4 linked regions of the Tamandua tetradactyla genome follow. The protein of the gene in region 3 purifies or fractionates together with the protein of the main gene of each other region. This does not show direct contact. Links are inferred from orthologs where the notes say so. Each region holds a gene or a part of one and is shown on either strand. Other genes may lie near its edges. The genes, in order: CRCP, POLR3G, POLR3B and UXT.

Region 1 (6,878 bases), on a different chromosome or scaffold from region 3:
ACTTGCAACTTACTAAACTCCCCTTTTTAAAAGCCATTCTGTTTCTGGATATTGCATTCTGGCAGCTAGCAAACTAGAACATCCATGAATTGCTAGCTACAAAATTCTTGATTAGTTTCAGTAAGTCACTGACTCCTAGAGAGAAGTGAACAGGTTGTTACAAGACCATTTCACTTAGGAAAGTCAGAAAACCTAGCAACTAGGTAGATGATGGTCTTAATAACTGAGATATAAGCAGGTTGGGCTGGAGAGGAAACCATCAATATTTCTGTTTTGAAAATGTTAAGTCCGAGTTGCCTTTTCAACGTGTAAATGCAGATGCCAAATAAGTAGTGGAGAATTGGGGTTCAGAACTCAGGAGAAAGGGGCTAGAATTATAATTCGTAGATTCATCAGCAGAGGTAGGTACAATAGCCAAGAGACAGTATGTGGAGAGAAGGGTTCCCAGGATTGAGCTCTGAGATACCTCAACACTCAGAAGCCAACAAGAAGGGATGGGGGGAAAGGAGACTGAAAAGTAGTACCTGATGTAGAAGGAAATCCAAGAGAGCATGTCATAAAGCCAGTAAATATTTCTAGAAGAAACAGACACCCGTATCAACTGCTGCTGAGAGATCAAGAAAGTAAACAACAGAAAACCAATTTTTGGATTTGACAAACTGGAGGGCTTGGGTAATCATCACAAGAGCCATTTAAATGGAGTTAATGAGGTAAAAACAACAACAACAACAAAACAGAATGGTTTAGACAGTACAAAGGGATTGCCTAAACAACTATCATGAAGTTCTGTTACAACGCGAAATAGAAATGGAGCGTAAATGAATAAGAGACAAGGGATTCTATGCATCTATCTATCTCTTTATTTTTGGCATGGGCAGGCTCCCGGAATTGAACCTGGGTCTCGGGCTTGGCAGTCGAGAACTCTGCCACAAGGGACTTTATTTTTAAGATGGATAAATAGAAGTTTTTTATGCTGACAGGAAATTCTCCAGTCAATAGGGAGAAACTGATAATAATGGCTTGGATCACAGTCATACGTGTTTTTCAAGCTGCAGTTGTATCCCATTAATGGGTTACAAAACCAATTAGGTAAAAAAAAAATTAGGTTTCTTTTTCCTTCTTCCCATTATTTTTTTTATGAGAGCATGTGCCAGTTTGAAACTGTCATGTACCCCAGAAAAGCAATGCCCATTAATCCTTTTAATATTGCTGGGTGGGATCTTTTTATTGTTTCTATGCAGATGTGACCCACTCAATTGTGGGTGGTCACTTTTGATTAGATGGCTTCCATGGAGATGTATCTCCACCCATTCAAGGTGGGGTTGCTTACTGGAGTCCTTCAAGAGGTACCCATGTTGGAAAAAGCTTTAGAACAAACCGAGCCCACATAGCCAGAGACCTCTGGAGACATAAAGAAAACACCACCAGGGAAGCCACTGAAGAAGTCTGGGAAGAAAGCTAGTAGACCTTGCCACGTGCCTTTCCATCTGAGAAACTAGGAACTCAACAGCCTTCTTGTACCAAGGTATCTCTCCCTGGATGCCTTAGTTTGGACATTTTTATAACCTTGCCTTAATTTGAACATTTTTCATGGCCGTAGCACTGTACACTTGCAACTTGATAAATTCTCCTTTTTGACAGCCATTCCATTTCTGGTATATCACATTCTGACAGCTTTTACAAATTAAAACAGAGCAGTTACAGGTTTACAGAAAAATTATGGAGAAAGTAGAGTCCCACATACCTCCCTCCCATAGTTTTTCCTATTAACATTTTGCATTAGTGTGGTAACTGCTGCAACTGATGAACAAACATTATTATAAGTACACTATTAACTATAGCTATTGCTTGCAACAGGGGTCACTTTTTGCGTTGTACAGTTTCATGGTTGTTTTTTAATTTTTATTCTGGTAACATATATACAACCAAGTCAGCATTCTTTTCATGAAATAGAAGAGTCAGTGTCAGAGTGTACAGCATAGCATACAATAAAGGTAAACGTTGTTTCATGAAGCTTTTATTTCAGTTATATATACATCTTGTGTTAAAAGTCAAGATAAGATCAAATAAACTGGAAAAACTGCGGTATATATAACCATTAAACAAGTTACAGAACAAAGGAAACTGGGTGCTGTAAGGAACACAATATATGTGTACCTGCAAGTTAATGTCAACTAAGTAAAAATACACATGAAAAGTAAAAAAAAAAAAAAAAACACCTCCATTTGCACATGGTACTAGGAGTAAAAATGAGAAAAGACAATGTGGAGCTAAATCGTTAGAACAGCTCTTACTCTTTTCTCCCCTCCCCCCCCCCCCACCAGTGTTGTTTCTTCAGCCCCTTAACTGGTTCACGCACTCCCTTCTCCGCAGAATATACGCGCCTTCCTTCACAGGGCTAACTGCTCCTCATCACACTCACTGAGCACCTCTTCAGAGTTACGGTTCCCCCGAGTGGGAGCCTACTACCCCTAGGATCTATTTCAACACCTAACCGTCTCCCCTCCTGGTGGACTCACGGATTTATTCCTGAATCGCCGCTAACTTACCGGGCCGGGCTCCCCACTGGGACTTAGGAAACACGTGTAAATGACCGCAGGAGAGAGGAGACACGAATGAAAGACAGCCAGGCCCAATGGCATTCTGCTCATGTCCCAGGCATGGAGATGAGGAGGTGGGAAGGTGGGGAAGAAAGGTTCAGAGGAGCAAGTCTAAAGTCCCTTTCTTCCCCTCCTACCCAAACCCGACTGCCCCTTCTACGACTGGGCCGTCGCCCTCACCGCAAGCCGGGGAGGAGGGTCGCCCCATCTCCACGCCTCCCGGCTCCCCGCAGTGTAACCGTCCCCCACCCTTGGGCCCCCGCCCAAAGGCGGGAACGCATCCCGGGCGGCTTACACCTCCATGTTGCCTCCGCCTCGTCGTCTCTGGATACCGCAGGACAAGAAACCTCACACAGTTTCACCACTGCTGTTTCCGCCTTCCTCTCTGAGCCCGCAGGATCGCCGGCACAGCAAGCCGCGGTGCACGCCGGGATGGGCGCGCTGCACGCCGGGAGCCTGGAGGACTTTGCTGGGCCCTCCGCGCCGCCCGGTGCTCCTTTTCCCGAGGGGACTGTATTTTCTTCGTCCAGGCAGACTTCAGACTGTCCAGCGTTTGCAGAAATAACTTATCACGTTTTCTTGGCCTAGGTCCTATCAGAGTATTAATAAACTAAGATTCCAAAGAGTTGATAGAGTTGGTGGGCCTTTGCGGATTTAGAATCCCACCCCTCAGAGAGCAGTGATGATGGGGACGGGCCGAGGGGACTTGTGGCTGCTGGAGTTACTTTCTTTCTTGATGTGGGTGCTGGTTATATGGGATGTTATAATTGAATAAAATGTTTTTAAAGATGGAGAAAAAAAAAGCCCTTCTCCCTGTTCCCTTTCTTCCTTGAGAGCTATTTCACAAAAAATTTATGAAGAGCTTTAACTAAAGGAACAGCCTCTGACTTTGGGCCTTTCTGGGAATTTGGGAAAAGGGAATTATCGGATTCCCTAAATAAAGAAGCAAGTGTAGTGATTTTTTGCTGAGAAATAACATAAATGCTCACGATGTAGAATCGAGAAATAATATGTTTCTGCCGTATAGTATGGTGTATTCAGCCAAGAAAAATCGTGTTGCAGAATGATGCTGGAAAAATGCTCAAGATAGGATTTCTAAAAGATGCAAATGATATGATATGATCCTGATTATCTAAAGAAAATAATGTATGAGTTAAAAAATACCCGGGATATGGAAGGCAGAGCTACCTGATCTGCAAGATTTTATGTCTTTGAAAGAACAGGGTTGGGAGAGTGGGTGTCAATTTCATTATTTCCTGTTATTTTTTAGTATGCTTGAAATATTTCTTAAAGCAGGAGGGAAATATGACAAAATATTAACAGTGGCAGATGCCTTTGCCTTTGAGGCAATTGCTGGGGGTGGTTTCTGCTTTTTAAGTCTTTCATGTTCTATTAGTTTTCATTTACCAAGTTCATTCTCTTTGCCAAGCCCTAAGTAAGCACTTTTTACACCATGAGATTGACAGTGAATGGTGCTGACCTGGCAGTCGGCCAGCCTTGTTCCTATTTACCATCATGGCTTTCCTAGAAGCTGTTTGACTTTGTGGAAATGACTTAACCTCCCTCCACCATAATTCCCTAGTCTGTAAATTAGAGATCTGTTATGTCATCTTTATAAAGTGCCTGGCACATAGTAAGTGCTCATCAAATATTAACTATTACAACAGTACTCTGAGTTACAGTCCATTATTATTCACATTTTACAATTGAGGAAACTGAGGCAAAGCTTTGGAGAAGTTATGACTTAACCCAATGTCATTCACCTGGGAACTTGCCCCACAGAGATCCAAACCCAGATAATACAAACAAATGCAGGAGGCATATTAAATTGTTAATAGTGGCTGATGAATAGATAAATAAAATGTGGAATATTCATACAATGGAATATCATTTGGCAATGAAAGGGAATGAAGTACTGATACATATTACAGCATAGATGACCCTCAGAAATATGTTAAGTGAAAGAAGTCAGACACAAAAGACCATGCATCATATGATTCCTTATATGAAATGTCCAGAATAGGCAAATCTATAGACAGGAAATAGATTATCAGTTGCTGGGAGCTAGGAAGCCGGGAGCAGGGTGGGGTGGAGGTTCTGCAGGCAGGAAGTGAGGTGCAGAATGGGAACTGACAGCTAATGGGTACGGGTTTTTTTTTTTTTTTTTTTAGGGGAGATGAAAATGTTCTAAAATTAGATTATAGCGATAGCTGCACAACCCTGTAAATATACTAAAAAAACATTGGATTGCACACTTTGCATGGGTGAATTGTATGGTATGTGAATTTTACCCCAGTAAAGCTGGTTGAAAAATATTAATAGAGACAGCAGGATGTTCGGCTTCTGAGCGGGGACCTTTGTATCATGTGCTAAGAGAGTGAATTCAAAATGGGTGAATTTGAGAAGGGCAAGAAGATTTTTGTTCAGAAGTGTGCCCAGTGCCACACCGTGGAAGAGGGAGGGAAACACAAGACTGGGCCAAATCTGCATGGTCTCTAGGCGGAAGACAGGTCAGGCGCCTGGATTCTCTTACACAGATGCCAACAAGAAGAAAGGCATCACTTGGGAAGAGGAGACACTGTTGGAGTATTTGGAGAATCCCAAGAAGTATATCCCTGGAAGAAAAATGATCTTTGCTGGCAGTAAGAAGATGGCAGAAAGGGCAGGCTTGATAGCTTATCTCAAAGCTACTAATGAGTAATAATTGGCCACTGCATTATTTATTATAAGATAGGTGGGACTTTTTTACATGTATCATATCTGAATTGATCTCACACACCAGAATTCAGATCATGAATAGCTGATAGTATATTTTTATTGGACAGCCCTGAGTTAAATAAGATTAGCTTATAGTTAAATGAATGTGATCAAGCTTTTTAAATTGATATAATTCTGGTTTCAGCAAGTGCTATCACTATTTCCCCTTTCTAAAGATATAACTGGACTGAGGCTAAGTGAATTAGTAATGCTCAGCTTTTCACAGAGATGGTGAATACCAGTTCAATCTACTGGAGATTGGTTTTAAATTTAAATTTATATGATTGGTGTTATGAATATACTTGAATACTAGGAAATCTCTTCATTGTCACAGAATAGAGCAAGACTCATCTGGGTTTCAATTGGTGTCCTCAGCCTGTTTAAAGGCAGGTGCTAAAAATAAGGTAGCTATGTCCACTTTATCTTTTTGATCTTAACTGTGTCAATCTAATTAAAAGTCCCTGAATTTCAATATTTGAAATGTTGCCTTTTAATTAACAAAAGGCATTTTGGTGTCGTTTATGTATAAAACCCAATAAAGAATGCTGAATGTGTGAATGTGTGAAACCTTCTCACATTTTATAGATAATCTATAAAGTTGAATGTTTTCAAAAGTCAGTGTGACAAGTTAAATTTTGCTTTTTCATTCTTTATTATCTTAAATCAGACCAAGTTACAATTCAGGTCGTCTTTAAACTGCTATTCAAAACCACATAAAATTGTAGAGACACTGAATTACGTGTGTTTGGTCACGATGCTTTTGCCAACTCGTAAGGATTTAGATAGAGAAGATAGACCATCAGTACGAGTTAGTAAATTTTGTTATCATAAGTCTTAAGATGATTAAAAAAACACAAAGACAAAAAGAAAATATTATGAATAGTGGAAGGAAAGTGTGGAGGCTTTTTAACATTTAACTTTATACATTCTGTTGTTTAAAATTTTTCAATGAATGTGTTATGTTTATAATTAAAATTTTTTAAATAACTAATGTTACTGTTACTTACAACGCAGGGCTAGACGGTGCCCAGAATGAAAGAGGAAAGAGACTGGGATCAGGGGACCTAACTTCTCAGAGAAGTTCAGGCAAGTTTATTTAGGGCTGTACTTCTTTTTATACCCTAGATATGCATGTGAAAAGCTTTGTTCTATTTTCTAATGTTACTTTATGTTGCTTACCACTTTTGGCAATGTCAGCTAGTTCTTGCTAGACTAAGCAATCTTGCTTTGTGTCTTTTAGCAACACCTGCTGTATTAAAAACATCCTTTTCTTTCAAGTTCAGCCAGACTGTTTATCTTTGAACCTTGGGGCAGACTCCCTGGTCTTTACTTCTGCCTTTTAACCCTTTCCAAGCTGTTTTTCCATCAAACTCATTTACTTTAAAAATCACCAGGGGAATGGAATGCCACCCCAGGCCCAACTGGCCTGACTTGTGTCCTCTGTATCTCCCCTGTGAGAAAAGCAGTCCCAACCGGCAGCGCCAAAGAGGCTCCTTGTGTTATTCCTTCAGCAAACACATA
Region 2 (6,980 bases), on a different chromosome or scaffold from region 3:
GCACCAAATCCAGGGTGAATAAGAGGTATGCCTTTCTTTTGTAAAATGGAAAAAGACAAATGGGAAAGATAAGTTAGGAATGGAAAACTAGCAAGATGTAGACCTCCAGCCTCTAAGGTAGGTGAATTCTGAACGTTAGAAAGGAGTACATACAAAAGTTGAGCATCTGGGAAGCAACTTCCATAATCATTTGAGCCTGGGAGCCGTTAGGAAACATGTACACCTCCAGTTCATGCCCCACAGCGGTGACACTACTCTAGAAACTCTTCCCAGTGAGTCTATCCACTTTACCTCCCAATGAGGGAGTCCATCCACTTTAGGTTCACTTAACCTCTTTGGAGAATTCTCCAATCTTTTTTGTTGTTGTTGTTTTGCAGGGGCAGGCACTGGGAATCAAACTCAGGTCTCCAGCATGGCAAGAATTCTCCAATCTTTAAATCCAGCCTTGTTCTCTCTCCTCTTTTAAGAACTCTATCTTGACCATCTGCATATTTCTACCTATGTATCTTACAAATATCTCAACTCAGTGTGTCCTGAACTGAAATTTCCAGCAAACCTGTTCACTATCTGCAGCCCCTTTCTTGATGAATGACACCTTAGTAGCCCCAATCAGAAACCTGATAGTCATCCTCACCTCCTTTCTCTCCATTCCCTCATCTAATTATAGAAGACTATCAGGTCTGTGTGCTCTCCCACACACTCCCTTTCTTTCACCTCTCCTTTAGTTTACTCCCTCATGGTCTCTCACCTGAACCTCTAAAACAGAACAAACTTCCCATGGACAGTCTTTCAATGCACTCTCCATTTGCCTTTCTACAAAACATATCTTGACCTGTCACTCTCAACCTTATAAACACCCAAGAGAGTTTTTTTGAGTCTAACTTTCTGCCTCTAGTCCTCTGCATCCCAGACTCTAACCACAGCAAACGCTGCTACCCTAGTTTTGCACAGTGTACCCTCCGCCTGGAGTGTCCTCCCACATCCACTTGAGGAAGCCCGAGCAATCCTTTTAAGACTCCTTGAAAATGTCACTTTCTCTGTGACTATTTTCAACACCCTACACAGAGGTAGTCCTCTCCCTTCTCAGCGTTTACCAAGTAGTACATGCTTCTATGGCTGGTTTTAGAATTGTAATGTAATTGTTCATTTCTTGCCTGTCCCCCCATTATGTCTCTTCATTCATTTATTCATCAAGTAGTTACTAAGCACCTTCTATGAATCAGGACATCTTCTATGCATTGGGAACATAGCAATGAACAAAACGAAGTCTGTGCTCTCATGGAATTCATAATCTAGTATAGGAAATGGAGAATAAATTTAAATTAAACTCAAGGCCTACAGTGGAAAGAGTGGAAACTAGATTTGGGAACACCCCGTCTATAGAAAGGATGGTTGAAGAAGTCTTTTCTTCATTCAGTAATATCTGAGCACCCTGAAGAATGTAAGGGAGAGAGGCTTTCCCTGAGGAAGGTAGGGGAGGGAACCATGCAAGGAATTTGGAAAGGATATCTAGGGAGAAAATGGGATATAAGGAGAGGGATCTGTAAATGCATAGGGTCTCTATAAAAACCTATTCTTCTTTTTATGTCCTATCCCTAACCAGAGCCTGGCAAAAAAATACAATAAATGTTGGGTGAATTTTTGCTGAGATTTTGGTCTCACAAGGATATCATTTCATTTCAACTCCAACGGTTTCTTTCTGCCTAGATGAAAAATACCCGAACTGCTGGGAGCGCTGTATTTCCCTGCTGAGAATGTCCTAATAAAAACATCTTTTAGCTGTACTCTATTGCACCTAATTTCGACTCCTTCTGTGGTCTATACCCCATATTTGCTTTGTATTGCAAAAATTTGTGTACAGATATTGTTTTCCTTCGCATTCTTGAGAACTCAGATCATGTCTTTCTCACACAATTATTTTCCTCATACAGCATCTAGCTCAGGGTCATGCACATAAAAGTGCCCCCCTAGGTGGTGACTGGATAACCTCCAAGGATTAGTAAAATCTTCAGAAAGGTCGCATCCCCACCAAATGCCTTAAAAATGTAGAAGAGCATATACCTCTGTTTCTATTAAGGCTTATTAGTAACTGCCAGAGTAAGGGTTTCCATAATTATCTTTTATAATGTTGTCTCATGGGTCCCTTAATAATTTTTCCTGACTGAGTGGGGAGGTAAATCAAGCTCTCAAGGGAATTTTCTAAGCCTAAATGGATGTTTCAAAAGCTGCAGATAAGGAGAGGGGAGGTTGCAGGCACCGGGTGTTAATAACAGAGGTGATTTACGTGGCTGGCGGGACCACACCCAGTTATTATTCACTTTTCCAGGCGTCAGAAGGGCTGGCTGCCTCCACCTTTCCTTGGTTGGGCATGCCTACCAACTTTCCTTGCTCTCTTCCAACAGCGAACCAACTAACCAAAAATGAGGGGCGAGGGGAGGTGAAGAAAAATAAAGAATTTTACTTTTCAAAAAGAAGAAAAATCTTAACAAACTCCCTCCCCACGAAGGGTAAAATGCCCACAGTTAAAAACAGATCCTGAATAATCTGTCCTTAGGGGGCAAGTCTGCGGCAATGACTAGTACCTGAAAAATCGCATAGTCACAGGATTTGGTAAATCTCCTACCATCAGTAAGAGTAAATAAGTTCCCCCCTAAATCACTTGGTCCCAGGAAGTGGAGACCAAGTAAGATCCAGAAACCACAACTAAAAGATTTTGAATGGAGCAGAAGAGGATAAAGCTATCTCTCAACATTTCTCCTCCCAGAGGACCTTAAATCTCCACGCCTGGCTTCCCCCACCCACTCCATGTGCCTCTTTAAACTCCCCCCTAACCACCTCGTCCCCTCCCAGGGTCCCGGTTGCTTCCTCAGTTACCTGCTCACTAAGTCTCCCGGCTCGGGCAAAACTGCAGCCGAGGTGCCGGCCGGCAAGGAAGGGGTGCGGATGGAGGGAGCCGGCGCCGCCGGCCGGGGGATCTACCTCTGGAGCAGCGCGCCCCGCCCTCCACGCGGCCGCAGGCCCGCGTTCTGAGCCCGGCCATCTAGCCCCGCCCAGCCCGCAGCCAGGCCCCACCTCCTGGGTTAAAGGTTTTTTAGCCCTTGGCAGGCGCCGTAGTTTTCTTCCAACCGGCTTGGCCTGACTCTTTCGGCGCCGGTTGGGAGTGAGCACAGTGCTGCGCGGGTGGGCGGACAGACCCGGGACTTCCCACGCCTCTGCAGTCAGCCCCCAGTGCCCCTCTCCTCGCGAGGTGGTGAAAGTATCGCCTTTTGGATCTCCATTCTGTTGAAGCGGCCCCTGCATTGACGCCTCCCCTCCCCCGCCTTGTGCTGGACAGCTAGTGCTCCTGCGTCCGGGTGCGGGCAGCGAATCCTCTGCTCTCTGCGGACCTGGTGGGAGGGTGCGGGAGGTGCGAGGCGTCCTTCCTGCTCCCCCCTCCCCACGCGTATCTCCGCAGCCCCCGCCCCCCTCCTCGCTCTGCGCTTCTCCGGCCTGTGGGCACCGCGCTCCACACCGCCGCAGCGCCGCTCCTCCGGACAGCCTGCGGGAAGCTCCCACGCCCACACCCGCCCACCCCCGGCCGCACCCCTGCCCACGATGTCAGCGCTCGAGTGGTACGCCCACAAGTCCCTGGGCGACGGCATCTTCTGGATTCAGGAACGCTTCTATGAGTCGGGCAACCGCGCCAACATCTGGCTTGTGCGCGGCTCGGAGCAGGACGTGGTGATCGACACGGGCCTGGGGTTGCGCAGCCTCCCGGAGTACCTGTACTCCTCCGGTCTCCTGCAGGACCGCGGAGCCAAGGAAGACGCGGCGCGCCGGCCGCTGCTGGCGGTGGCCACGCACGTGCATTTCGACCACGCCGGCGGCCTCTACCAGTTTGACCGAGTGGCGGTGCACCACGCCGAGGCCGAGGCTCTCGCTCGTGGGGACAACTTTGAGACGGTGACCTGGCTGTCCGACAGCGAGGTGGTGCGGGCACCCAGCCCCGGCTGGAGGGCCAGGCAGTTCCGAGTGCAGGCTGTGCAGCCCACCCTGGTCCTGCAGGATGGTAAGGGGCCCCCATGCGCGCGCGCTCTCTAAGGGAAGGGATGGGGGAAGAGACGGCCCTAGGGATGCATGTTGCAGACCTGCGTGGCTGTAAGGGGCTTGTTTTGGCACGTCGCATAAACACCACTTCAGTTGCAGCACTCCTTGAGTAAAAGCCCACCCGATCAGAGGCAAGGCCATTGCAGCTTTCCTTGCCGAGCCCGGCTTCGGCCACTGTGTAGCGGTTGCGCTGCTCGAGTGAAAGCCGTCCCCACCCCCTAGTCACTTTCCTCGATCCGTTAACAGTAGTAGCGCTACAGGGACTTGTGGCTGGGATTTCCCAGTGCTTTTCCGGGCACCTGTCTGACATTTCTAGGTGCTTTTGTAACGAGAAGACTTCTAAGGAGTGACACCTCAGGAAGAGAGCATGCCATGCGCTATGCTTTTGAGAACTGCTGACTTCATCTGCTTGGTCACCACTGCATGTGGGCGATTACCACCTGTAGGTTTAGAAGACCATTAAGAGAGTAGCGGTTCCAATGTGATCGAGCACCATTATCTTCAAAATAGATTTCTGTTCTTGATGTTGCCTCACGAGAAAAAAAGCGTGATTGCGAACATAAAAGTAAAACATGTCTGAGTCTCAAACCTGAGAATAATTAATTAGGATGTTGCTTCCGGTAGAGGAGAGAGATGTCGTCTAATGCCTAGGTAATCCTGATCTTTTCTGGCTCTGTGAAAGAATGGGGTTCAGAAAGAAATTCATGGAATAAAACAAAATAGAGGAAGGTGTCAGCCCCTGCCTCAAACCCTCTACGCTGGTGCTTAAATAATTGAGCTAAATAGCCATAGTAGCAATGTTTGGTTTATTAAATTTTCCTTCTTTGTAGGATGCTTCCATTTTCTTCTTTTTACCCTCACAACACAATTGAAATGAGGCCATTGACACCCAGTTAGATGACTTGGCTGAAGTCTACCGAGCAAAATAGTTAACAAAATGGATTGGAGCCAAGGTGCAGTATATCCAAGCAAACTGAACATACATGAATCTCCTCCCGTAAATATATTACGATAATTCTGTAAAATGAAATCCCCTTTTTCCTTTCCCTTTCCAAACCATTTTAGTTGCTACCAATATATCCCTCTATAAGGTAGAAAGACCCACTTGTTGAAGTACAATAGGTACCAGACAGAGCTCACTTTTTGACCCAGCCATACTGCCAAATAAAGAATAAGCACTTTTATCTTACAAGATTTCATTAATTTGCAATATTAAAAAATAGAAAACACAATTCTATAAATTGCCCACACCACCCAAAACATCTTTTCATAACAGTTCAAGATGAAAAAAAGTACATTCACATTAAATGTCCTTTTAATTTATGTATTTCTTGATAAAATTCAAACTTTTAGAGGTGAGATTTACATGCAGTTACTAGGTATTCAGAATTAGTTGATTCCAGTGAATTATATCCCACCTAGACCAAAATATGTTTATAATAATATTAAATGTATTTAAATTTTTTAAAGAATAAATTACTTCTGAAGGCACCAAGGGAGATTTATAGATCAAAAGAATAATTGGGATCAACAAGTGAAACTCCCTTGTTTTATAGATGAAAACAGGAGTCCCAAGCAGATCAAACATAACCAGTTTGATCAAGAGCTGAGATTAAACCCAGGTTTCCTGAATTCCAATTGATGGTAGAATGTAGCATTTTGAAACTGCAAAGGACCTGCAAGTTACTTGTGTGGAGCTTTAAGACTTTTGAAGGTGTAATCAGAAAGCTTAATATTTACCAAGCACTTTGAAGGTGAAAATACTGTGTTATCAAAAGTTGTTCTTCATTAGGAGCTGGTTGTCTCACACTCTCAAGTAGTATCTAATTTCCTCCCTTCTCAGGTATGTTAATTTCCTGTCTCTTCTGAATGATGTGGCTTTCTAACTTGCTATTTTTTTTTTCAGAGAATGTGTACATTTTTATTCTCATGACATGTCTCCAAAGAGAGGCAGAGCTTTGAATAAAAAATAGAGTCTGGTTCATTCTAGCCAACAATGTCATAAAATGGTACACACACATTTTCCGGGGGGGCAGGGTGGCAAACAAATTACTTCAAAAATTCTAACTTGCTATTAAGGATCCAGATGACTGGAAAAAGATATAAAATATTTATAGTAAAAATTTATAAACAGTTACACACACACGCACACATACAAACACAAATAGCACAAACCCAAACAGGATAAAGTCTTCACTGCTTTCATTAGAATGCAAGGAGATTGGAGTCATTTGTTTATTACATTTCATTTAGTGTATGGAGGATCACCTGTCATGGAGAAGCATAAATCTGTGCACAGTATTCCAAACTCAAAAGCTGACTTGTAAATGAGGTACAAAGAGGCCAAGACACCAGCTATATCATCCAGTGTATATCTTTGATGCAAAAGCAATTCACCCTAATAGTGAAATAATATCTACTTATAAGAAGATAGTAATATACTTTAGATTGATATAGCAGTTTCCTCTTGAAATGGGCAGATATCATTTTGCCTGTTTTTCACAATATTTAAATAATATGAAGTGCTATCAAGTGATGTGAAGAACGTTTATACATGTTTAAAGCAATTTGCCCAGAGTACCAAGATATTATCTGAACTGACACTACAATGATTGTAAATATTGTGTCAGAGGAGTGGTTCCAGTAGACTTAAATTGCTTAGAGAGGTTAAAAACAAACATACAGATTCCAAGAAGGTAGCAGATTAAATAGACCCATGTAATTTGGCTCCCTCCCAAAACCCCATTAAGACTATTAGAAAGGGATAGTGGGTTATTTGTTTTAAGTATAAATCCATATTGACCAGGGAACTATTGCAGATCTGGAAAGCAGATATAGGGACTGAGTTAGTTTTATCCTGTGCCTGCACTAGGAAATCAGGAGCCAATGCCATT
Region 3 (6,917 bases):
TACCACAGCAACAGCAGAGGTAAATAATGTGGGGACAGACAAGAGTCAAGGTGAGTGTTCTAGTTTGCTAGCTGCTGGAATTCAATATACCAGAAATGGAATGGCTTTAAAAGGGGGAATTTAATAAGTTGCTAGTTTACAGTTCTAAGGCTGAGAGAATGTACCAATTAAACCAGTCTATAGAAATGTCCAATCTAAGGCATCCAGGAAGATACCTTGGTTCAAGAAGGGTGACGAAGTTCAGGGTTTCTCTGTCAAGTGAGAAGGCAGATGGGAACATGGTCAGGGTTTTTCTCTCTCATCTGGAAAGGCACATGGTGAACATGGCGTCATCTGCTAGCTTTCTCTCCTGGCTTCCTTTCATGAAACTCCCCCAGGAGGCATTTTCCTTCTTCATTTCCAAAGATCACCGACTGGTGGACTCTACTTCCCATGGCTATGCCATTCTCTGGTCTCTCAGAATCTCCTGGCTTTCTCCCTAAGATTTCCTCTTTTATAGTATTCCAGTAAACTAATCAAGACCCAGCCGGAATGGGTGAAGACACTTCTCCACCTAATCCAGTTCAATAACCACTCTTGATTGAGTCACATCTACAGGGAGATGATCTAATTAAAGTTTCAGGCATACATAGTGCTGAATAGGGATTAAAAGAAATGGCTGCCTTTACAAAATAGGATTAGGATTAAAACATGGCTTTTCTAGGATACATACATCCTTTCAAATCGGCACAGTAACTAATAAAGTATCAGCGGCAGAGAATTCACATAGAATCAAGAGGCTACTCTGGAGGTTGTTCTTACGCAAGCTTCAGTTAGACATTGCTACCTATCATAACCTGCCAAACCCCAACAAGGACCATTCCAGCCAATCCTAAAAAACACCTAGAGCAGTATATAAGATTCCACAAGGGTTCCAGGCATTAGAGTAACTTTCCAGAAACCTACAACTTCCAGATGAGTCTCTGGACCAGGTAAGTCATGAAACCTAGATGGCTCAGCCTCTCCTGAACATCAGATAGTTCCATCTCCCTACTCTGTATTAGTGACAGACCCTTCCGACATGAAAATGTTAGAATGGCTATAGCCCAAACACCCCTAAAGAACGGGATAGAAAGATTGAAGGTGATGGTGGAGTTACACAGAGAAGATAGGATTTAACAAAATGAATATGATGACTGAATCACTAAATTGATCTCTTTTAGTCTCCAGTATCTTAGAGCAGTTAAAAGTAAAAACCTAAAATTTGGACTTGTAACCCATGTCAAATTCTGAAATATTTTCTACAACTAATTGTGATGCTGTGCTTTGAAATTATTGCTGTTTTGTATATATATTATTTTTCACAGAAAATAAGAAAAGTCGATTATGGTGACAAAAATTTTTTTTAAGTCTTCTTGCCTCCTATATTCTGGAGCAGCTAGAAGTAAAAATTGGAGAGGATGGTATGGTAGCATATGAAACACTCTGGGATCTGTCCGGTAACTACTTGTTGACGAGTGCTTTGAAAACTATTGCTTTTTTATTTGTTTTATATATATGTTATACTATACAATAAAAAAATAAATAAAATAAACAAAATAATAAAGGAATAAAATCATCTCTGGTCTCACCAGTAGCAGATAACCAAATTAATATTTTTACATACTTGCATACCAAAGAGTCTGTCATGGTCAGGTTCATCTGTCAACTTGGCCAAGTGGTGGTTGGGCAAGTGCTGGCTTGTCTGTTGTGATGAGGCCATTTCACAGAATTAAATCATGATCATGTCAGCTGCATCCACAGCTGATTCCATTTGTAATCAGCCAAAGGGGCATGTCTTCTGCAATGAGTGATGCTTAATCTAATCACTGAAAGCATTATAAGGAAGATTCAGAAGAGACAGGCTCTTCCTGTTTCGGCTGGTGAGCCTCTCCTGTGAGGTTTGTCCAGACCCTCCATAGGAATTGTCGGCTTCACAGCCTACTCTGTGGATTTTGGACTCTGCGTTCCCACGGTCACGTGAGACACTTTCATAAATTTTACATTTGCGAGTGTTCCCTGTTGATTCTGTTTCTCTAGAGAACCCTAACTAATACAGAGTCTTAGTACAAATCAATAAATATGCGTTGAACATCCAAACTATCAAAAATTACCAAATTGAGTTTACCATGTGTATCTACAATTTTTAATTCATCTTTTTCTCACTTATCGTTATACTGAGAACTTTTCCATGTATTAAAATGTTACATTTTTTCTTTTAAATGTCAATGTTTCTGATTTTTAGCTCCAAAGAGAAACTATTTCAATCATAAAAATTACACATGCTTATTGTAAAACATTTAAACATTACTGGAAAGAATGAAGAACAGTAAATCACATCCTCCAGAGATAACCAGTTAAAAGTCCTTTCTCATAACTCTACCCATTATAAATACATGTAACATATAATTGGGATATTATTCATGTAGCACATTGTTCTTTTCCATCCCCACTTATCAGTAGATGATGCCATCTTTCTAAATTAAACACAGATATTTCCATAATTATTTGATAGATGCTTATCCATCAAATTACAAATATATAATTAGGGGTCCCATAATTACAATTATTCATCAGAGGACATTTAGGTTGTTTCTAATATTTTGTTTTTATAAATAATGCTTCAGTGAGCAATCTGTTCACCTTGTTTGTCCACATTTGTGTATCTTTTCAGTAATCTCCTTGGACTAAATATCTAAACAACTAAATTGCTGAGTCAGTGGAAATATATGTATTTTTACCCTCTAGAAATGACAAATATTGTACCAATGTGCTCTCTCACCAACAAAGTAAGAGAGTGCCTGTTTGTCCATACTCTGGGCCACATTTAATATTATAAATCTTATCCATACCAATTCGATGGGTAAAAAAGAATTTAGTTTCCATTTTAATTCTGAAGTTATACATATTTTTATATTTATGATGTTTTGCTTGTTGATATCTTTTGCCTAGATTTTTCTGTTGTTTTTTTTTCCTGTTGATTCGCATGCACTTGTCAATTACCACTACCAACACATTGCCTTCTGCCAACCAGTACTTTTTTTTTTAGGCATAAGTAGTAAAGTTTATTAAAAGAGAAGTTTATTAAAAAGAGAGTACACGTTAGAGAGGTTAATGTGGGCGTGCCCAAGGAAGGGACTCGCCAGCCAGTACTTTTAAAAAACTCTATTTATGGTAATTTTGTAAATTCTATATGGAAAAATTTCATTTTTCATGGAATCATAAAACAACGTTTAGAATTATTTAATATTATCAAATCTACCAGTATTTTTACTTTGTGCCTTTTGATTGTGTTGCCATCCTTTAAAGACTTTTCATCACCTCTAGGTTATGAATATATTCACTTAACATTTTCTTCTGAGGTTTTTTAACATTTAAGTATTTAACCCGTACAAGATTTATCGAGAAGCACATTTTTTAAAATACTAATCAGCTGTTCACCGTCATTTATTGAATAAGTCATCTTTTCCCCTACGGAATTAAAATACCATCTTTTCATACAAAATTTCGCCCTGTACATGTATTTATTTCTGGGTCTTCTGTCTGGTACATAACGCTGCCTTAATGACTGTCGTGTTACGCTCTACTCTCCAGTGTGGTGAACTCCTCCTCACTCCCATGACACGCGCGTACTCTAATTCATTTAACCAATCCCCCGGTTGATGTCGGGAAATGTCCGATTTTCCCATACTATACAATGTGACTACTCCTGGAATAAATTAAATGCATTATTTGCTTCGGTGGCTCAAGTTGCGCAAATCATCTGTTTACACTTTCCCTGAAGTTATTTTAAAAAACACAACCAATATGTTTTGTTGACCTCTAATACGGAAAGAACCCACGACGGCCGGGGGTTAGGACTACCCGGCCTAGACTTCCCAGCAACACCAGAGGGGGCAGTTCTCCGGCTCCGCCGCAATCACATCCGGTTCCACCGCAGGTTCGGGCAACATGCAGGCGGAACCTTTCTGTCGCACCTCCGACTAGCAGTCCAAGCGGGGACGGTTTAGGCCTCCGCGCACCGTTCTCCAAGCGTGCTGCAGTTTATTTGGTGCAGCGAAGGCGGGCTGGAAGGTTCTGGCTGAATTTCTTTCGCCGTTAGCAGCATGGACGTCCTAGGGGAAGAGTTCGGTAACCTAACCCCAGAGCAGCTGGTGGCTCCGATCCCGACCGTAGAGGTGAGCGCCCGGCACGCGGTTGCAGAAGGGCCCGGGACACGCTCAAGGAGGCGTTGCCCGGAGAGTTCTCGCTATGGACGGGAGGCGGGCGGGTGGCATCGCGCATGCTCAAAGCATTGCGCGTGCTTATACTTTTCCTTGGTTGGCCGCCGCTAGCGTGTGGAAGGGGTGAGCCCAGAGAGCTGTCAGTGGTTACGGAAGCCGAGAGGCCCTCCGATGGCGCTCGGGTTGGACCCCTTCCAAGCTCCTGTTCGTTTGTGTCCGAGAAGATTAGCTCTCGTATCCACCCTGTGGGGTCCTATTGCTTCTTCGTTTTCAGACATATCGAGAAAAACAGTAGGACCCAGGGAGCTTAGTCCACTTTCATGAGGTCCTCTAGCTGTGGTGCGAAAGCCAAATCGTCTGAATCTTTTACTTTCTATCTTGACTTGTCCCACTCCAATCTGTCTTCTGCTCTGTAGCCAGAGTCATCAGTTTAAACACACAAATATGGTCACGTCTCTCCCTTGGTTTAACTTCTTCAATTTCTACCCATTGATCTTAGAGCAAAATTTAAAGTCTTTATGAAGGATTACAAGGCTTTCCTCAGTCTGTCCGCTGCTTACTTTTCCAGCCGCTTTTTCCACCATTGCACTTTGTAGATTAAATCCTAGATATCTATCATATGACTCCCTCCAGAGGCCTTCCTTGATTCTTCCAGATGTTAGATCCCCTTAGTACTTGCTACGATAGTGTCTTCTCCATTCTGGAGACTAACATTTAGTTTTTCTTTCCACTAGAATATGTTTGTCTTATTTGTTGTGTGTCCTCCGTTCTTGACCTGTAAAATGTTTTTATTGAATGAATGAATGAATTAGATTGAATGAATGTGATGAGTAACTTTATTGCCTTTTCCAAAGCAATGGTATCTAGAATGGTTTTAAGGGACTCAGAGAATGCCATTTTACTCATTTTTTATTGCTGGGTGTTGTCTGCATTTTTTGCTTTATGAAGTAAAGCTATAATTTTAGTGTTGAACTAACAAGAATCGGGACGGTACTTTATAAGAGAATTTCTTTAATAACAAATGAAAATAACTTTTCCTTTCAGTTGGGAAATTGATATGTTTATTTACTTCAGTGCTTTCTCTGTAAGTTTTCCTACATAGGTGCTATTTTGCCTGTTAACCATACCTAATATATTTTTCTGTACTCTGTATGCTATCATAGCAACATGGTAGGAGAAATAACACAGCTTTGGAGTCATGTAATCACTTGTTTATTGAACAGATTTTATTGAGGGATTACTGTGGGCCAGGCAGCATACCATTCCCAGGGATTGTACAAATTCAAAATCTCCCTCCCTGTCTTCCAGGAGTTTATGGGTTAAAGGGGGAGACATGTACACATGTGGAATAACATATAGTGGATTCTGTGATAGAAGGGAAAGTCTTTGTTACAACTGCAACTGATGGGTAAAATGTGATGCTCGAACTGAGTCTTAACAGATGGGGATGAAGTGTTGTGGTGGGAGAGGCATTCTGAATAAAAGGGACGCCATGAGCAAAAGCCTGAAAGTATTAAAAAGCCCATCATGTAGTTTCATGTGGTTTGGGAGAAAGATGTGAGGCTGGAGAAGTATCCAGGGGTGAGACCACAGAGGACGTTATGCTGTAGAGTTTAGACTTCATGAGGATGGTGTGGAGGCAATGGAGAATGGTAAGGTGATGAATGACAGGATCAGCTGTGAACATGGAAAAGATCACTCTAGCTTGAGTGTTGGTCATGGAATGGAGGGAAAATGGCAACTTTAAAGTAGACTTAAAAGAAAATATCACAGAAGTCCAGGTAAAAGACTATGAGGGCCTCAGCTGCAGTAGCAGAGGATGAATGTGAGGAAATTTAAAAGGAGGTGGACACAGTGGAACTTGTTCTCCAACTGATCAAGAAGCATCTGAGAGGTAGGACTCCCTGGGGTTTTAATTGGTAATGACTGTATAAATGATGTTGTTCGCTGAGATTGGGAATAGGGCAGGCTGAAAGGAAGGGGTAAGTTGGGGGATCTAATTTTGGGTGTATTGAGTTTGAGTAGTTCCTGAGCCCTTAAGGTGTTGCTGCCTGGTAAACAGTTGGAGGAGACATATTCATACCTTGTGGGTCACTGTAGCTGTGATATTTACTCACTTATTCATTTATTCATTCATTATCTATTGCAGATCTTTTATGCTCCTGGCACTGTGGTAAATAAGGTAGTCAGGGTCACTGTCCTTGAAAGTGCTTACATTTGTAACTGGGGAGGGAGGTGGGAGATCTTGAAATGGGGATGTTAAACAAGTGGTCTTTCAAATCCTTCACACCCAGCACACTTGGGAGTGAGAAAAGAAGTGTCCAGGGATAGAACTTTGAGGATACCAACATTTGCAGAGTAGGCAGAGGAAAGGAAGACCAAGAAGGCATTCTCAGAGGTAGGAAAGGCATTAGAAGAGAATGTTGTCACAGGAGCGTTACAAGAAGGGAGTGGTCAACATGGCCGACTGCTGTGGAAAGGCTGAGGGGAGCTCTTTGGAATTGGAATTGGAATATTGGAAACATTGGTGACATTTGCTAGAGCAGTTTCGTTAGTAGATGGGTCAGAATCTTGACTGTAATTGGTAGAAGAAGGAAAGAAAAATGAGGAACAGAGAAGGTCCTCTCTGACTACTTGTTGGGAAGTTAGTAAGCTGAAGAGCAGGAGAAGAAAAGA
Region 4 (7,068 bases), on a different chromosome or scaffold from region 3:
CCAAACAAAATAAAAACAGTGTTGAGTATTTCTTTCCATGAACAGGGAACCCTCAGACATTAAACAATTCAATCCACTGGAGGGCACAAATTCGGAGCCAGAAAGCCTGGGTTTAAATCCCATCTCCACTTCTAACCTTTTTTGGGCCTCAATCATGCATCTGAAAATGGGATAATAGTACCCACTTCATAGGGTTGTTGTGAGGGTTAAATGAGTGAAAAATGTCCAGTGCTTATCCTGGCATAGTAAGTGCTATGTAAATGTTTGCTATTATTATTTTTATCACTATTACTAGACCATTCTTGAAAACAAACACCTCCTCCTCCCTCCCATTTCTCCCACTGGGTACACATCTTTTTCTCCTTTAATTCACATCTAAACTTCTGGGAGAGAAAAAGGTTGTATATAACCCTATCTGGTTTTCTATAGCCATCAAAATAGTTCTCAATCCTAGAAAATGAAATAAAGTAATAGAGACCTAAAAGACCTATCAACCAAGTGTGATATATGGACCTTGTTATATGGTCTTTTGTGGATTTGAACAAATCAACTGTAAAAATTTTTTGAAGCTTTTCTTTTACTTTGAAAAATTTCAATCCTACAGAACCAATGAAATAGTATAATGAACACCTGTAAACCCTTCACCCAGATTCATAACTCATTAATCATCTGTTACATCTACTTTCTCTTTTTCTCTACAAACTCATGCTTTTTTTGCTGGACCATATGAAAGTTCCAGGCATCATGACACTTTACCATTAAACACTCCTGTGTGTAAATAAGGCCACTGTCCTTCAAGAGTGCAATGCCATTATCACATCCAAAAGATGCCCAATAAATATTTGTGCAAATGAACAATACAAAGACCATAACTGAATGCTTATTAGGTGCTGTGTTTGGTGCTAAGCTTTGCATTCTCACTTTCTTCAGCCCCAGCCCCGAGAAGGAAGGGAGTTGGGTCCTAAAGTATCATCCATGGTAGCCATGGGAAGAGGAAGAAGGGTATTGATAATGGTGGTGTTTTTAGACACTGTCCTCATGAATGGAACTTACTCTGTGAGAAGGCTGCTCTTACGATCAATGAACTTGAGAGCTTCTGCCAATGTCAGCTCCAGGAAAAAGCCATATCCAATGGCCACAAAGATCCGTGAAGTGTCTGGGCTAATGAAAGAGTGGTTAGAGGAGGTGTAAAGTTCTTTACATCATTTAGCATACCAGCCAGTTTAAGATGTTTTCTGATTCCTCCCTACCCCCAGCCTGGCCCAAATTGAAGCTCTGGGAGGGCAAGACTTTTGTCCTACTTTATTCACTGTCACATCCCCAGAACCTAGCATGGTGTCTGGTATATAGCAGATGCTCAAAAATATTTTGTTGAATGAAGGAGGGGGGATGCTGAACCTTGTAGATTCAAAGGTAGGTAGATGGGTAGGCACTCACACCACTGCGTCAACGAAGAAGTTACAGCCCAAATCCACCTGCATATATAACTCCGAATGGTTAGTTTCCTATGGGGTGAGGGAGAAAGAGGTAGGGGTCAGGTGTCAGATTTTATGTCAGGTGACAGGTCTTGCTCTGGAGTTTCTTCTCCCATCTCCCAAAGGTACCCAACCCTAGTGTTTTTACCTGGAGTTTTTCAATGACGTTTCTCAGTTGAAGGTATTTGGCCAGCTGCTCATATACCTTGTCACGATGGTCCAGCACCTTTCTGATGGGGTGAGAGTCTAATTGGTGACCAATACGTGATCCTGTCCCTCTGGGGATACCTGATATCATGACCCTCTGAGACCCTCATGTTACCACGCCATGAAGAGGCATTTTGGTGCAGAAGTTAAGATTTTGGCCTCTGGAGTCAGACTACCTGGGCTTGAATCCAGGCTCTCCCCTTTACTAGCTTGTGTGACCTTGACAAGTAACCTCTCTGGGACTCAGTTTTCCCATCTATAAAACAGGGATGACAGTGTTACCTCAAATTCATTAGGAAGATTAAATGAGTGTTTCATATAAAGTGCTTAGAATAGTGACTGCCAAACAGTAAGCTCTACATACATGATAGCTATTAATTATTACTATTATTATTATACTCCAACCCAAATATCTTCCTCGATGAGAATGTCCCATCTTTACCCTAGAAAATTCTCATAGCCCTAGTTCTGAGCACTCTACTTCCTGCTTGGATTATGATACATTAATAACAATTCTTCATACTCGTTGAGGCTCTAGTATGTTTCCAGCATTCATGCTAAATTCTTTACAATGATAGGATTCATTGAAAACCCAAGGCCACTGCATGAGGTTTATCTACTTCTCCATTTCACCTCTGGGGAGACTGAGGCACACAGAGGCGAGGAACAAGGTATTCACACGGATGGCAAGTGGCTGAACCGGGATTCGAACTTGGGTCCAGAAACCTAGCTCTGAACCATTACGCGATATCATAGGCTACGTAGGCGCGGACGTGCCTGCCACTCTGAACGCCAAGTCCCAGCCAAACCTCACCCCAAATGTAGTCCTTCCTTCCGGATAGCAAGGGGCGAGGGGACGAGCTCCAAACGCCCGCTCACCAATCAGAAGGTTCGGCCCTGACTCTGAACACCCCGCCCACCACGTGGAGCTTTCCAAACGTCCTGCCCCGTATCCAGTCACTCACTGCAGGTCCCGCTGTAGCACGTCGCTGATAAATGCCTCATAGCGCAGCACTTTCTCTGCCGTGGCTTCCAAGGCCCGCCGTTTAGGGGGCGGGGGCGTCGCCATGATGGGCTCCTGGACAGTTAGGAGGGGGAAGACATGTTGATCACTCCAATTCGGCCTCATGACCAGCACATCTCCACCCTCCTGACGTTGGGAATGGGCTCGTCCGACCCAACCTGGGGGTTCCGCCTTCCGTCCCTCCCAACTCTGGGACACTGCCATTCAGGGACATCCAAATGCGGCCCGTACCTTAGAACCGCCAGGAAAAAGAACGGCGAGTTGGTATGAACCGCGGCTTCCGGGTGGCGCGGATGAATGATGTAATGGCAAGCCGGATGGCCAATCATATGGCCAGGTATGGAGGGGGCGGTCCTGAACGGAAGAAGACTGGCCAAAGCGGAGAAGAGAAGGGCGGAGCTTTATGTATCCGAAGCGAAGTGAAGACTGCGGAGCGTGCGAGTAGGGGCTGTTTTGGCAATGAACCAGCTAGTAGGGACAATGAAAGTTACGTGCGGAGCTTATGGGGAGCATGCAGAACTCGTAGGGGTGGGGTTTAATGGGATTTGGCGGGTTCTGGGGGAGGTGGGACTCACAGGTAGAGATAGAGAAAGGGAGTAAAGCATTTGATATTTAAAAGGAAGGGCTGTGGAAAGAGACCTGCAAAAGTTAATTATGGTTCTGGTCTGCAGGGAAGGGAGTACATCCCATGTAACCTATCGACCTGGATTTGATTTTTACTCACCTGGGAGATTTGAGTTTGAATCACGGTAATGGTAATGAGTGTGAGCATTTAAACTTTTTTTTTTTTTAACGGAGTCAGATTGTCTCAAATTCATCATTGATGACTGCAGCTTTGCGGCCCACAATCCATAAATGGGGTTCAAGTGGACATTAACCTGTTATGTCTAATTGCCTCTAATTGCCTCTTGTAGTAGGGAGGTCATATGGAGGGTCGATGACGTTTTCCACTCACGTTTGGCTATCTCGTAGTAGAAATAGTTCCTGTGTGTTTTATTTAAATTTGTAAGCTTTTTTTTTATTGTTACGTTCTTTTTTAAAAAATATTTTTTATTGAGAAATCTTCAACATACATACAGTCCATACATGGTATACAATCAGTGGCTCACAATATCATCATATGGCTGTGTATTCATCACCATGATCTTTTTTGAACATTTGCATCACTCCAGAAAAAGAAATAAAAAGAAAAAAAGAGTAAGCTAGCAGGATAACATTTTAAAAAGCGTTTTCATCCATCGACATTATGCCACTAAAACAAGTCCTTTCCAAAAAATGTTTATTTGGTACAAAATTTATATTTTGACTAGTGCAGTCCCTAATATAACTTATGTGGACAGCTTAATTGAACACAATAAGTACTTGGAACCTTGAGCAGGACATAAGATTTTGAAGGTTTGTCTAGAGTGATGCCCCCATAAATCCCAGGATGATTTGAAAAGTGAATAAAAAAGTTATTTGCAAAGTCCCCTTCGGGGAATGGTGAGAAAAGGGGAAAATTCAACTTCCCCAAGTGGAGAATTCTTGATACTCTCACAAGCAGTGGGGACAACTAAAGCAATAGGCTGAGTCCCCAATCTTGGGGTTTGTTTATATGAAACTTAACCCCACAAAGGATAGGTTAAGCCTACTTAAAATTAGGCCTAAGAGTCATCCCCAAGAGAACCTCTTTTGTTGTTCAGATATGGCCTCTCTCTCCAGCCAACACAGCAAGCAAACTCACTGCCCTCCCCCTCTTTACGTGGGATATGACTCCCAGGGGTGTGGACCTTCCTAGCAAGGTGGGACAGATATCCTAGAATAGGCTGGGACTCAGCATCAAGGGATTGAGAAAACCTTCTCGACCAAAAGGGGAAAGAGAGAAATGAAACAAAATAAAGTGTCAATGGCTGAGAGTCCAAACGGAGTCGAGAGGTTATCCTGGATGTTATTCTTACACATTAAGTAGATATCACCTTGTTATTCAAGATGTAATGGAGAGGCTGGAGGGAACTGCCTGAAAATGTAGAGCTGTGTTCTAGTAGCCATGTTTCTTGAAGATGATTGTATAGTGATATAGCTTTCGCAATGTGACTGTGTGATTGTGAAAACCTTGCTTCCGATGCTTCTTTTATCTACCTTAATGACAGATGAGTAAAACATAAGGATTAAAAATAAATAAATAATGGGGGAACAAATGTTAAAATAAATTTAATAGATTGAAATGCTAGTGATCAATGAAAGGGAGGGGTAAGGGGTATGGTATGTATGAATTTTTTTCTGTTGTCTTTTTATTCCTTTTTCTGAATTGATGCAAATGTTCTAAGAAATTATGATGTTGAATATGCACGTATGTGATGATAGTGTGAATTACTGATTATATATGTAGACCAGAATGATCATATTTTAAGAATTTTGTGTTTGTTGTTATATATTTTTAAAAAAATTAAAATTAAAACAAACAAAAAACCAAGTCCTTTCTTGAGCAGCTTTTGTTGATAAAGAGGAGGACACTTCTATAGTTTAAGTTGCGTAGCTGTTACAAAAGACAAATCATGTCTCCATCTCCAGTTTTATCATGGTGCTCTATGAGGATTGTTTTGAACTAGATCTATTTAGGCAATATATATTTGTAAGCAGGGAAAGAGAAAATAATTTAAAATGGATACAACTGGTAAATACATTTCAAAATCAGTTGCAGCAGCTTGATTATGGGGTGTTTGTTTCCCAAAGCTGGGCCCAGTGAAACTGGGTTTGGGAATTGGTTGGTCATTATCCCTCCTTCTGTTCCAACAGTGGCAACAGCCATTTTTCATGAGGGATGAGCTATAAAAAATGAAATATCTACAACAGGGAGGATTTCTGCAACTTCAAGAGCAAGCTCCATAGAAAACCCAGCTACCTGCTTATCATAGTGGCCAGAGGAAATATAAGAGTTATGGATTTGGAATTAAACCATGCAGTGCTAATTAGGGATTAAACCATACCGTAACCAGAAAACGCCAAAAGGGAAGGTTTATAAGTTCTCTGGGAAGGCATGCATTTCTTCCTGTCTCTGGGGCCAAATGAGAACCTAGTAAAAGGCCTTATACTTGTTCAAATGGGCACCCAAAATACTTGTACGATGAATGAATAAATGAAAAAAATGAATGAACCTCCTCCTTAAAAAAAACAACTCATACATACCATACCTCTAACTGCTCCCTCTCATTGACCACTAGTATTTACCACTAGTATCTCCATCTACCCAATTTATTTTAATCTTTGTACCTCTTATTATCTGTTTATTTTTTATCCACATTTTTTACTCATCTGTCCACACCATAGATAAAAGGAGCATCAGACACAAGGTTTTCACAATCACACAGTCACTTTGTAAAAGCCATATCATTATATAATCATCTTTAAGAAACAAGGCTACTGGAGCACAGCTCTACAGTTTCAGGTACTTTCCTCTAGCCACTCAAATACACCATAAACTAAAAAGGAATATCTATATAATTTGTGTGAACAACCTCCAGGATAATATCTTGACTCTGTTTGAAATCTCTCAGCCACTGACACTTTATTTTTTCTCATTTCTCTCTTCCTCCTTTTGGTCAATAAGGTTTTCTCAATCCCTTGATGCTGAGTCCCATCTCATCCTGGAATTTCTGTCCCACATTGCCAGGGAGATTTACACCCCTGGAAGTCATGTCTCACATAGGAGGGAAGGGCTGTGGGTTCCCTTGCCATGTCACCTTAGAGAAAGAAACCACATCTGAGCAACAAAAGAGGTTCTCTGGGTGTGTGTGTGTGTGACTCTTATGCCTAATTTTAAGTAGGCTTAGCTTATCCTTCGCAGGAATAAATTTCATAGGGGCGAACCCCAAGACTGGGGACTCAGCCTATTGATTTGGTTGTCCCCACTGCTTTGTGAGAGTATCAGAAATTCTCCAAATGTGGAAGTTGAATCTTTTCCCCTTTCTCCCCATTCCCCTAAGGAGAACTGGCAATTACTTCTTTATTCACTGTCTGAATCATTTTGGGATTTATTGGGACATCACACTAACCTGGACAATCTAACAAAATCTCATGCCCTATTCAAGATTCCCTGTACTTAAGGTGTTCAACTAAACTGACCACACAAATTAAATTAGGAAATGCACTACCCAAAATATAAATTTTGTCCCAAATAAACATCTATCCCTTTAGTCTCACACAGAAGTCGAAGTTTTAAGATATGAATGATACTGTCCTTTTCCCAGTCTTCTTATATACCTTAGTCCTGTCCAGATCAGCTTCATTCATATCTCTACTCAATGTCTGATCACTTTTTCAACTTTTTAAACTGTTCCTGTACGGGGTACTGCTTACTTTCATAGCTTCAGAGCTCTGACTCTG

Evidence for each region.
Region 1: the proteins of POLR3B (region 3) and CRCP purify together in Homo sapiens (affinity purification with mass spectrometry; 5 studies listed by BioGRID and IntAct, with this or other methods). This does not show direct contact. The link is inferred for Tamandua tetradactyla from reciprocal best matches to the Homo sapiens genes POLR3B and CRCP.
Region 2: the proteins of POLR3B (region 3) and POLR3G fractionate together in Homo sapiens (co-fractionation; 4 studies listed by BioGRID and IntAct, with this or other methods). This does not show direct contact. The link is inferred for Tamandua tetradactyla from reciprocal best matches to the Homo sapiens genes POLR3B and POLR3G.
Region 4: the proteins of POLR3B (region 3) and UXT purify together in Homo sapiens (affinity purification with mass spectrometry; 3 studies listed by BioGRID and IntAct, counting the BioPlex papers as one, with this or other methods). This does not show direct contact. The link is inferred for Tamandua tetradactyla from reciprocal best matches to the Homo sapiens genes POLR3B and UXT.

Annotation. Positions count from the first base shown.
Region 1 is NC_135349.1:18,078,402-18,085,279, forward strand, and holds the start of CRCP (DNA-directed RNA polymerase III subunit RPC9), read right to left. Parts: upstream 3,016-6,878; 5' UTR 2,904-3,015; coding exon 2,896-2,903; intron 2,644-2,895; exon of another isoform or gene 2,550-2,643; intron 1-2,549. UniProt on the Homo sapiens protein: DNA-dependent RNA polymerase catalyzes the transcription of DNA into RNA using the four ribonucleoside triphosphates as substrates.
Region 2 is NC_135347.1:40,811,048-40,818,027, forward strand, and holds the start of POLR3G (DNA-directed RNA polymerase III subunit RPC7), read right to left. Parts: upstream 3,003-6,980; 5' UTR 2,875-3,002; intron 1-2,874. Other genes in the region: acyl-coenzyme A thioesterase MBLAC2, read left to right, coding at 3,595-4,048. UniProt on the Homo sapiens protein: DNA-dependent RNA polymerase catalyzes the transcription of DNA into RNA using the four ribonucleoside triphosphates as substrates.
Region 3 is NC_135333.1:22,886,550-22,893,466, forward strand, and holds the start of POLR3B (DNA-directed RNA polymerase III subunit RPC2), read left to right. Parts: upstream 1-3,902; 5' UTR 3,903-4,124; coding exon 4,125-4,196; intron 4,197-4,378; exon of another isoform or gene 4,379-4,580; intron 4,581-5,400; exon of another isoform or gene 5,401-6,135; intron 6,136-6,917. UniProt on the Homo sapiens protein: Catalytic core component of RNA polymerase III (Pol III), a DNA-dependent RNA polymerase which synthesizes small non-coding RNAs using the four ribonucleoside triphosphates as substrates.
Region 4 is NC_135353.1:122,467,340-122,474,407, reverse strand, and holds the start of UXT (protein UXT), read right to left. Parts: upstream 3,004-7,068; 5' UTR 2,938-3,003; exon of another isoform or gene 2,865-2,937; intron 2,761-2,864; 5' UTR 2,752-2,760; coding exon 2,648-2,751; intron 1,706-2,647; coding exon 1,624-1,705; intron 1,506-1,623; coding exon 1,438-1,505; intron 1,162-1,437; coding exon 1,054-1,161; intron 1-1,053. UniProt on the Homo sapiens protein: Involved in gene transcription regulation. Acts in concert with the corepressor URI1 to regulate androgen receptor AR-mediated transcription. Together with URI1, associates with chromatin to the NKX3-1 promoter region.